Linked DNA regions of Drosophila melanogaster. The protein of the gene in region 2 interacts with the protein of the main gene of each other region in a pairwise test. Each region holds a gene or a part of one and is shown on either strand. Other genes may lie near its edges. The genes, in order: Skp2 and Cks85A.

The links.
Region 1: the proteins of Cks85A (region 2) and Skp2 interact in a two-hybrid assay, tested with the Drosophila melanogaster proteins (2 studies listed by BioGRID).

The regions. Positions count from the first base shown.
Region 1 is NT_033777.3:4,334,335-4,339,761, forward strand, and holds Skp2 (S-phase kinase-associated protein 2), read right to left. Parts: upstream 3,341-5,427; 5' UTR 3,273-3,340; coding exon 3,214-3,272; intron 3,009-3,213; coding exon 2,135-3,008; intron 2,075-2,134; coding exon 1,675-2,074; intron 1,612-1,674; coding exon 1,452-1,611; intron 1,396-1,451; coding exon 1,209-1,395; 3' UTR 1,077-1,208; coding exon of another isoform or gene 783-1,076; 3' UTR 545-782; downstream 1-544. Other genes in the region: CG14645 (uncharacterized protein), read left to right, coding at 783-1,076; CG1103 (uncharacterized protein), read left to right, coding at 3,738-3,969, 4,710-5,170.
Region 2 is NT_033777.3:8,714,445-8,720,450, forward strand, and holds Cks85A (Cyclin-dependent kinase subunit 85A), read right to left. Parts: upstream 4,013-6,006; 5' UTR 3,893-4,012; exon of another isoform or gene 3,599-3,892; coding exon of another isoform or gene 3,405-3,598; intron 2,898-3,404; coding exon of another isoform or gene 2,681-2,897; exon of another isoform or gene 2,452-2,680; intron 2,125-2,451; exon of another isoform or gene 1,799-2,124; intron 1,436-1,798; exon of another isoform or gene 1,372-1,435; 5' UTR 1,354-1,371; coding exon 1,295-1,353; intron 1,225-1,294; coding exon 993-1,224; 3' UTR 756-992; downstream 1-755. Other genes in the region: CG8112 (uncharacterized protein), read left to right, coding at 1-732; TMEM216 (transmembrane protein 216), read left to right, coding at 2,681-2,897, 3,405-3,598; CG11760 (uncharacterized protein), read left to right, coding at 4,889-5,144, 5,360-5,553.

The DNA.
Region 1 (5,427 bases), 4.4 Mb from region 2:
ATTACCAATTGGAGGGATGACTCAAAATAGTTTCAATTTTATATTTCTACCCGTTACTCGTAGAGTAATAGAGTATACTAGATTCGTTGAAACAGGCAGAAGGAAGCGTTCCCGACCATATGAAGTACATATATTCTTGACCAGGATCAATAGCCGATCTGGCCATGTACGTCTGTCCGTATGAAAGTCGAGATCTCAGGAACTATAAAAGCTAGAAGGTTGAGATTAAGCATACAGATTCTAGAGACAAATACCCAGCGCAAGTTAGTTGACCCATGTTGCCACGGGTGACGGGTATCTGATAGTCGAGGAACTCGACCATAGCCTTCTCTCTTGCTTTAGTTACTTTTATATTGCTGAATCTTTAAATTTGGCAGGCTGTCCAATACGAACTTTGTTCTTGAACCTATGATTACGAACTAGATCGAAAATATTTATATTTGTCGTTTCCCTATATGATTTTGTTTTGAATTGGCTTGATTATGCTTTCCTTGATAAAAGACATATTTTTTGTTTATTTTCTTAAATATTTAATATAGTATAAAAACAATGAATTTTTAAATGGAAAATTGGGTGACTCATTGTACCTTTTTTAGTTTGAACAGATTGGAGTCAAGGGCAAGTACTGTTATCTTTTCCTTCCTCTCTCGAGTGTTTACATTAATGCCAATTTATAAAAGCATTTTCTGGTAGTAGCTGCACTTGGATACTATACCGCTGCAACTATGTAACTATAAAAGGCTTCGAGTACTTCCAGTAGACCATAGAACATTTTTTGAAAGATGAAGGTTCAGCTCGCTCTAACCTCCCTACTAGTGATTTCTTTTGGCATTGCCCTCGCCTATGATGGTGACGGACAGCCGGGTTGCAAGACCCAAGCCGAGCTAGACATTGTAGTTTTCCGCAACAATTGGGATGCCACATCGTATTGGAAGTGTGAGACACTTAACAAACCAGCCATTGAAATCAAGTGCCCCAGCGAAACAGGATTCATGGATAGTCTCAAGAACTGCGTCAACTGGGAGGAATGGGAATGGGAGAAACCAGTGGAGCCCCTTAGCGAAGCGGATCAGTGACCAAACGCACAAAAATAAGAACAGCTAAATGTGATTATTTATGTTGTTGAATTGAGAATAAAATAACTGCGTTACGGGTGGCTTACGCAGCAAAACAAATTCAAATGGTAACGGAAGCAGCAGAGTCGAGACTTAGTCGCGCGTGCGCAGACCCCAAATGGAGGTGCGTCGCGTGCCAACAGTCGGGCGGGATACCGAACTGTGAATGAATTTGTTTATACCCATTTTTGGCAGTTGTTTCTCAAGGACTTCCATTGCAGTGTCCGACAGCATCCCAAATATGTCTAAATAGGTTAGCGAGGGCATACTCTTAAGTTCACTGCAAGGAAAATGACTGGGTAGGGATTAATCAGACGCTTGCTGGAAAAATCTTACATAAATTTGGTTGCTGGAATAAGATAGCATCGGGAGACGGACAAATATTCCAGCATCTTGAACTTCATAATTGCAGTAATGACTGTTGGTGTTAGACTATTGCAATCAGATAGATCAAGCTCCAACAACTGAGGACACCGTTTTTGCAGGGTTGCAACATCTAAACAAATTAAATTCAAATCAAAAAGGAAATATATCATTGAAGACGGTGGGAACTACTTACGCGAGTCAAACAAAACGCGGCGGCAGCCAGCGATATTGAGCCGAATTAAGTTGGGGGAAATGTGGGTAACCAACGCCGTAACAGCATCCGCACTTAGGTCAGTCCACGATATGTTTAAGCTGCTTAGGCTGGTAAGTGACTCCATCATCAGGCGAACACTGTTGGACGTCAGGCCACTAGCCATAGTCAGATTGACCGCCTCCAAAGCTTCATTCTTTGCGATCTCTGCACAGATGTCATCATCGAGCTCAATATTCTCTAAGCTTATTTTCTTTAGCTGGCGGCAGTGGGACAATAGTGTCAGCAGTGAGCTTCGGGTGATGGAAGCCATACTCAGGTCAAGATATTGTAATCGGGTCCTAAACACTTCTGTATATGGTGCAAATGCGGGCTCCTGGATCTACAGTTCAAAGATTAGATGCTCTTGTTTCCCGAAAACATAATGTTAGATGTAACTTACACTAGTCTGGGCCAGACGTATTACAAGGACTCCCCGCCGTACAATTTGCTCGAGGGCACCTGGTCTAATTGTCCGCAAACCCAAATCTAGCCTTGTCCACAAAGTCTCATCGCGAGAGCAGCGGTTAAAGCGTCGACAAACGGTAGCCATGCGCAGCAGCGTCTTCTTCGGGAGCCACTTAAAGATGTCAAGTAGTATTTCGTCTGAAAGTCTTTCAAAGTAGTTTATGCCGCTGTTGATGTGGGCACTCATGGCCGGGGTGCGAAACACAAAGAAACTGTCCGCTGCCACTATTCGGGTTGTAATATTTGTTGTCGAGGGCTTTTTTGCCTGGCGAACTTGCGCCAACCTGCTGGTTGATGGCTGAAAATTGAGCGAAGCAGTCCCATCAATCTGGTTGTTACAGGTGACTGCAGCCAGGGGGTTGCGCAAACGTTTGCTGGGCGAGTTTGAATTGCCGCTACCTTCAGAACCCAACGACGAGCGCTTAGCCTGCGCCAGAATCTGCAGCTTCTCGGCCGATTGACGGGACATCGACAGTGAATCCTCCACAGCTGGGCTATCCAGTGTGATGTCCCCCGTAGAGCCCAGACTTAGCCGTTGCGTGTGCTGTAGCTGGTGCGCCATGCGCGACACACTGGCGCACGGGGTCGTCTCATTTGAGTTGTCGTCGCTGGTGGCGCTAACCGCCAAAGCGATGGCCGAGAGGGCTGAGGAGCTGCTTTCTTCGGAATCAAGCATTCCGATTCCCATCTCTTCTAGGGCCTCAAAAGTTAGTGCCGAGGGCGAGGAAGGGTGCTCGTAGTGCGATGACTTCGTAGTGGAAACTAGAGCGCCCACAACAGAGACGTGGTTCTTATTAGTCGAGCGCTTTCTGCAATAGTCGAAAATTTATTAAAAGTGTGCAGTTCGATCGTGCTTCATCAGCAGAATGGCTGATGAAAGAAAGGGTCAAGAACCCTGCAATTCAATAAGTTACTTTCTTGACCTCTTTTGGACACTTGTGGCGCGTGTGACGTCACGCGACCAGTTCAGTGGTCTGCTGCTTGAACCCACACCCCAAGCAAAGGAAAACTCACCTGGTCACCGGGCACAAATTTTCCATGTTTTCGGAGCCTCTGTGCTTGCGACTGCTCATATTTACACGAAATCTATTTTTTCACCGCCGTAAACACAAAAACTTCGCGCTATTTTTGCATGGAACCAGGGTTGTCGAGCCATTTTGGTATGAGAATTGTATCGTTATCGAATATACTAGACGGGCCGTGGTTGCCAGACCAAATCCCAAATTAATGCTACCGTACTCTTTGAGAAAAAATATCCGCTCAGTCTTCTCTTCTGAGAAAAAAACAAGGGCAAGACAGTTTATATTAATTGTTTACCTGTGCAACAATCTTTTGTTCCGCGAACAAAGACTATATTTGCAATTGATCCCGCCGACATAGTCATAAAAGGGTAAGCAATACGCTGCAAGGCCACTGGCATTGCGTCCTCCGCTTACTAACGTTTCCTACTAACTTTCTTCGCTGCAGCTGGAGTCGGGCCCTAGACATTTCTTAATGGTGAAAACAGCATAGCCTTCTACATATGCCACCGGTCTTCCATGAGCATTATCAAGATGAGCTTGCACACACGGGCGTTAGTGTTCTCCACCTTCTTTGGCAGCTGCCTGGCTATTGGCCTCTTGCTCGTCAGCATGACCACTAATCACTGGGTGCGGGCCACTCCACGCCGCAAGAACTCGTCGGACGCCAAGGGTGAATTCAACTTCGGACTCTTCTTCGGCAACTACCACCTGAATCCCGGATTCGGAGTCCGCACAAATTCGGTTGATGGTGAGCAATCAAAGTAGCCTAGATAGCAGGGAAAACTAGATAGAGAGTGATCTTCTCATTACCTGCATCGTGAATTAGCCTCTTTAAACTTCTTGGGACGCTTTCTGAATGAATATACGATTAGGAAAATGTGCTGATTATTGGGGCATGTATTAGTTGAAAACCGATATTGTCCTGGATAAGACTGTTGTTAAAAATAGATTTACTTTTAAATTTGTTTAGTTGTGAAGATCACAAACATAATCGGGCGAGTTGATAAAATTAAATACCCGAATAATACTCATGATCAGTGCAGACATATCCAAAAATTAACCATTATGTATACTTTTCGATTACATTTATTTATCTTGCAGATCCTAAGGATATGCTTAAAAATTAAATTGTAAAAACCAAAATTGTTTTTGTTTTTCTTATTAATAATCAAGTGACACAACAAACTTTAGGGCTAAAGGGAAGTTACATTCTATTTAACAAAATTGAAAAATATTGAAATTTTTGGCGCAAAAAATATAATAGAAGCGAGGACATAGGGAACCATATTTTACTTGCTTTTATATAATATGGTTGAAATTTGGGGTTTACAATTTTTAAAATTGCAAGGGTATTATATTGCGAGCCACAAATATGCAACATAGAATAAAAACGTCGTGGAAGCTTAACAGCTTTTGGAGATGCAAATAAAATATAAAATTTTTAAAGCAATCCTGTTTAACTTTTGTTATTTCACACCGTATTTTCAGTGTATACCTTTGTTCGGACAGAAAATGACGACACTAGCTTCTGGCTCTGGCTACTTACTACCTTGGGCACCGGTTTCGCACTGCTGGCCTGCGCTGTGGCTGCCATCGCCGCTGTCCTAAAGTCAGCCTCTGCGGCCAAAAAAGGAGGCACAATGATGCTGCTCCTGACTTCCAACATATGCGCCGCGGGGGCGCAAATAGTGGCGTTTGTAGCTTGGCTCGTGCAGTTCTACCAATATTTCATACACAACGTTCTTTTAACTGAGCAGCAGCAGCAGCACTGGTACAGCAATGGACTGGCTTATCTTGGTTACAGCTTTTACCTGGTCGTGGTATCCACCGTCGTTGTGCTGCTGAATATCGCCATCCTGTTGTACGCCCAGCGACTCGGCCTCCGCAACCGCCAATGCCTGGAGGCGCCATGTGACGATAAAAACAAGACCGCCATAATGCTGTACTAAGGAAGGCGAGAAGGATTCCCAAATGAACCTCTACGAAGTTGCTTGGCAAACGTACGAGCAGCGACACCTAGTAATCTCAGTGGCTCAAGTACTTGTGCCTTACTTAATGCCTTTACCTTGCCAACAACAAGGGCCGTCTATATACTCATTTCAGTTTATGGTATATTCGTTTAAATAAGCGTACAATGACTTCGCCTGACTGGCCTGCCGATCTTTCATCGGAATAAGACAAACTAAAGCGCACAGCACTGCCCACA
Region 2 (6,006 bases):
ACGCTTATCTACCGAGACAGCTACCCGCGCACCTCCCACATCCGCTGGAAGTTTGCCCTGAATCGACTGTTGGAGGTGGTGGCCATAGCCTTCCTGTACGCGTTCATCCATGAGCGGCACATCCACGAGCACTTCGGACAGTACGGACTGGAACCAATGGGACCCTCCCAGCTGATCCTCAAGCTGTTCGGCATGATGCTGCCCAGCGCGGTGATCTTTCTGTGCGGCTTCTACCTAATCCTGCACTCGTGGCTGAACTTCACGTCGGAGCTGCTACGCTTCGGTGATCGAATGTTCTACAAGGACTGGTGGACGTCGCACACTTACGATGGCTACTACAGAAACTGGAATGTCGTCGTGCACGACTGGCTGTACGAGTACGTGTACAAGGATATGTACACTCATGTGTTCCGAGGTTCCAAGGTGGCCGCCTCGCTGGCAGTGTTCATGATCTCCGCTGTGGTCCATGAGCAGGTTCTCGGCTTTGCCCTGCAAATGTTCTTCCCAGTGATGTTCTTCTTCTTTGGGGTCGTGGGTGTTGCCTTGGTATTCCTAATGCGGAGTGCTCCAAAAGTGATGGGCAACATCTTTCTGTGGTTCTCTCTGATCCTGGGAAATGCCACGCTGATCTCACTATACGCCATGGAGCATTACGCCCTAAAGAACTGCAACCTAAGCAACGAGAGTTGGACGTATCGCCTGCTGCCGGCGGTATGGCGCTGCTACAATTAGTCAATTAGTTAAACACTACTTTTAAACTGTCTGTACACAGGGCGTACGCTTCGATTTGTATTTTAGGTAAATAAACTTAATGAAATTAACAGAAACGATGTCTTCAGTTCGTTTCGTGTCTTTGAACTTCCCAGCTGAACCCTAAAGCTATGGTTTCTTATTTTACATCAGGCTGCCTGATGCTAACTTATGAAATACTACGTGAGCATTGACGAGTGCGTCCTTGGAAGAGCATTCCTCGGCGGCATGGCATCCTCCGCCTAACCGCAGAGATTCGCGATGGCCTGAGCCGCATTAGCGGCTGCCACCTGTGGAGCGTCCTCTGCCGGAATGCGTTTGCGTCGGAATAGAATCACATGCGGCTCCGGCGCGTGGACCATGTAGTGCACCCAGCCGGGGCTCTGCTGCACGCCCAGGTTGCGCCACTCCGTCTCGGTCATCAGATGAGCCTTCGGCACATGTTTGGCCAAATCCGGTGGCAAGATAACATGCCTGCAGGGAGGGAAAGTGGTTTGTGTGTAAACAAACAGTTCACGGATGCTGAAACGCAAGTTGAACGTACCTGTATTCAAAGTTGTCGTCGAAGTACTTCTCTGAGTATTGAATTTGATCGGCCGGCATTGCGAAAAGCCAGAAAACCTGAGGTAAATTAAGCAATTTTACCAAAATAGGTCAATAAATTCAGATAGATATGCCACAACTGATTCGATTCTAAATACTATTGTTATCGCTGCACGTATCGAACATAAAGTTATCGATTTGGTTATCAGCTGTCCAGTTAACAGCACCTTTGGCGGTAAACTCAAATGTACTGTTTTTAATGGCACGATCTTAGCGGGCTTTAATATATTGAACATAAACTTTTTTCTGTATAACAATATTTTTGCAATGTTTAAAGCCATTTTAAAGCCATTTTGTTAAAAAAACGAGTACTTTGTAAAAAGATGCTGTTAGAAAATGTTAACATATTTAGCGAATGAAAAACTCAATTGGATAATATGTGATTTCCAGTGTGACCGGAACTCGCAGGCTCGCACATTTTCCAAATGCAATCGGCAATTTCTCCGTTACTCGCCCATGGCCACATTTGTGCATGTGCGTTTGAGGTTCCTTTCCTTTTTATATAAGCCCCTCGTCTCTTGCCAACAAACCAACAACAACAACAACCAGCCAGGCCAGCGGGCAACAACAACGCACAACAACGCGTATAAATAAACGTGAACGCATGTACTTAATATTAGCATAGAGTTGTCGCCTGCGTGCATTTCATATACATAACATAACATCCACTTACTCCCATGACAACGGGACTTTAGACAGTAACGGTGGAGCAGCTAGAAGAAGAGGAAAGGCGAAGTAGAACGGGAACAAGAAGAAAAAGCAGTGGAAGAGGTGAGGACGATACGTAAATACAGTCAAACTTCCATAAGTAGATACGACTTTACTACTACAATAAAAAGTGTCCTTTAGTGATGAAGAAAATGGGTTCTAAGAACCTAAAACCTTTATGTATATGTACTCCCTATTGTCGCTTAATGAATTTACCGTTACGGTATGCTAGTAAATAAATGCATACAATGTACATATGTAGATACATAGGCACAGCAAAACCACCTATAAATTCGATTGATTTTATGAAGTTCTAGTTGAGGAAGTTTGACTGTATGTATGCGCGCATTGGTAAATACGAGCAGACCGCAATTAGCAAATATTTTTCAGTCCAGCAGGTATCACTCACCACGTACCGCCCAAAGGTCCCAATGCTGGCGTAGAGAAGCCGAAACACCTGCTGCTGCCAGTGGAAAAGCGGGAGGAGCTGCTCCAAACTGCCCAGGTGACATCCAATCATTTAGAGGCGACGCACCTGCCGCCTTGAGGAACTGGTCGCCACGCAGGAGGACACGGATACGGCAACGGTTACGGACTCGTTTCCGCAGTAGCGGGCACCATGAACGCCAGCCTCATCTATGAGATACTTATGTATCTGAACTCGTTCTACTTTGGCATGTACGCCGCCTTCGAAGTGGGCGTGGGCGTTCTTAAGGCGATTAATCTAAACTACGGCGAGAACGCGTTGTCCCGGGAGGCCAGCATCCTGCTCTCACTGTGCATCATCGAGACCGTGCGCATTGTCTTCGGGCGGAAGAGCAGTCTAAGCGATCGTGGTGAGTAATCCCCATGATCCCCATGTTACTGCAAGGGTGGGAAAAGTCCACCGGCAGCGATGATGACATGGCGAAATTATTTGTTTGCCCGGTCACAATGCCCATTTCATGCCATCCCCCTACCTCCGGGGCCATAACCCATAAACGTTTGGACGGGCATACATACATATATGTATGATGTAGCCCACTCGGCGTATGCGTAATTATGGTCATCACCCCGGATGAAAACACGCGTTTTATGGTGGCAGGGGAAAGGCGCCCTTCTGGCACATTAAGCAATATGCAAAGGAAATCTATCAAAGCGAATCATCGAAATGAGTTATTGGAAAAGCAATTGGAGCTGTTAATATTAATTATCGCAATGTGTAAACATGAAATTATTAGTATAATACTTTAAAACACTGAATCACTTTCAATCGAATACACTTAATTATAAACAAGTAGACGAACTATACGATTTTCCGTGCATCTGTAGCTAACATTTTCCTTGTTTTTCTCTCTTTGCAGGCTGGCAAGCAACCGCATCCGTAATATTAACACTGCCCAGTCTTGCTATTGTTATCTACTTGTGTTGTTTTCAAACCTTTGTTCTCAAACTCGAAATTATTCTGAGTGCCTTAATGATCACCCTACAAGGTGCTGAACTAGTCTACGCCAGCATATTCATTTGTACAATGTGTCGCCCCGTCACATACACCTAGCAGTTGATAAGCCGCGTTGCCGCCGCCACGTCAACGACCAAGATCGAGATCAAGACCAAGCCAGCACTAACACTCCCACCTGGAGGAGAAGGAGTAGAAGCATCCACAGCCGAGCGACGACTACGACGAAGACGAAACACTTTCCTCTGGCAATTTCACATCAAACGATTCGCCAAGGCCTCAAAACTAAGCCACTTAAATGCACACTAAGCCACCGCACATAAAAACAAAACAAAAAATCTAGATCCTACTAGACCTCCTAGGAATCCGTGCCAAGACAACCCGATAACATACCCAATGGCTGGCAGTTGAGGAGGACTTTCAACAAGGTACGTGAACCTTTATAAACTTATATAATCCGCACAGATCATTCGCGCCCGCGGAAATCACATCGCAGCGAAACACGACGCGTCCGATTCTATCAAAAGCAAAGCTGCATTTAATTTGCATTTCTTGGTTGCATTCTTTTGCCCGGCCTTTGTGGCGTTGCCTCCCTGCTGGCGCAGTTGCTCCTCGGACCCGCTCGGTTCTGGTATTTTTATACGGCTCTGATGGTCTAAAATTATATGCGAACTGCACGGCTCGTGCAACACCGCTGCTGTCCCCTAGGTGCAATGTACACTTCTAATTTGAATGTAATATACACGGCCCACTGCGGGCAAGTTAGCCTGACTGTAATGGCCAAGATGAGAGGGCTCTCCGTTTGGTCTTTGGTCTAGTGAACATGCCCTGTACGATTCACAGGAGAGAGATTCACGGGACTTTAGCGAGGCATAACGCTTTGAGTTTTTAAAAATAATTAAAATTCCAACAATGGTTTTCATATATTCACCCTAAACCTATCCTGAATTTCAAGGTAACCATTTAATGGCCCTGGGCCCTGTAGAGCATAACGCCCAGGGAGTTTTTAGTAGTTTTTTCCCCCCAACTAGCCGCCAGTGAAATCATTCTCCCCCACATTTCTAGGCAGGCGATCTGCCGGCCAATGCTGACCCAAACAGCGAGCAGAGAAAACAAATAAAAGGCGACAACGACCAGCAGCACATTATTCAAATAAACAGCACATTTCGCAGCGACAAACCGTGAGACCGCCGATGTCGATGCCGCTGCCGCTGCATTGGCCAAGCACGGCAGGTTCGCGTTATTATTATGGTCAGTCTATAAATACAGTGCCCAACGTGAGCAACGCCGCCGTGTGAGCGATCCGGGAGATCAAATCGGTCCAATTTGCCGTAGACATCGAGGGGTAACAGGAGAAGCAGCAGAAGGAGGTGCTAAGCCGGCAGAAAGATGCCGCCCAAGCGTCCGCCACCGCTCGTGCCGAAGAAGCCAAATCCCAGCATGAACTACGAGGTGTTGATCTACCTCAACTCGTTCTACTTTGGCATGTTCGCCTGTTGCGAGATGGCCATGGGCCTCCTGAAGGCCATCAATCTCAGCTACACGGGACATACTCTAGCCCTGGACACGGGGGTGATGATTAGCTTCATTGTCTTTGAGACGATCCGATTGATAATGGGGCGCATGAGTTCGCTGGCCGATCGAGGTAGAAGCTCCCGCCTGCTGGCTGGTCTAATTATAGGATATTCTAAAACAATAGAATCATCCTCAATGGCGTTATCAATCGTTTAATCAAACCAAACCATTAGACTTAAGAAATACTAATTAACTCATTATCATCCTTATTTATAATTGTAATAGAATAGTATCTATGGCTTTTACAATCAGATTCTAATGAACTCTTCTGCTTTTCTATCACAGGCTGGTCGGCCATACTGTCGGTCTTCATGACCGCCCCCTGCTTTGTGGGCGTCTCCTATCTACTGCTGCTCCAGACCTACCGACTGCGCCTGGAGTACTGCCTGTGCACGCTGCAGATCGCCCTTTACCTGACCGAGGTGTGGTATGCCATCGTCTTCGTTTTCTCGCTGTGTCGTCCAGTAACTTATGATTAGCCATATAGACAGAAACATCCAACAGCCAACTAGCAGCAAATATACATGCGAAAGTTTAGCAATCTATAAGATCGAAAAAGGATAATATGCGGTGTAAGGAAATTTAATGAATTTGAAAAGCAGTAGGCAGCTGAATTGCTCATGGCCGTGGAGAAGAGAAACCAAACAGAAAGAAAAAAAAAACAAAACAAAACACATATGTAGCATATTAATAATTATGTATAGTAAGGTTTATGATAACATACACACACTCTTATATACATATATTTAACGGTTTTATATACAAAAATTGTTAACATTTAAGCATCAATTGGAACCAATATAAGACAACAAGCAAAACCTAAAACTTGAATAATTTTCACAATTTTAAGATGAAAATTTTTTTGTAAAAAGAAAAATATCGAAAAACAGCCGAAAAACAAATTTGATGTGTGGAAATAATAATTTATAATA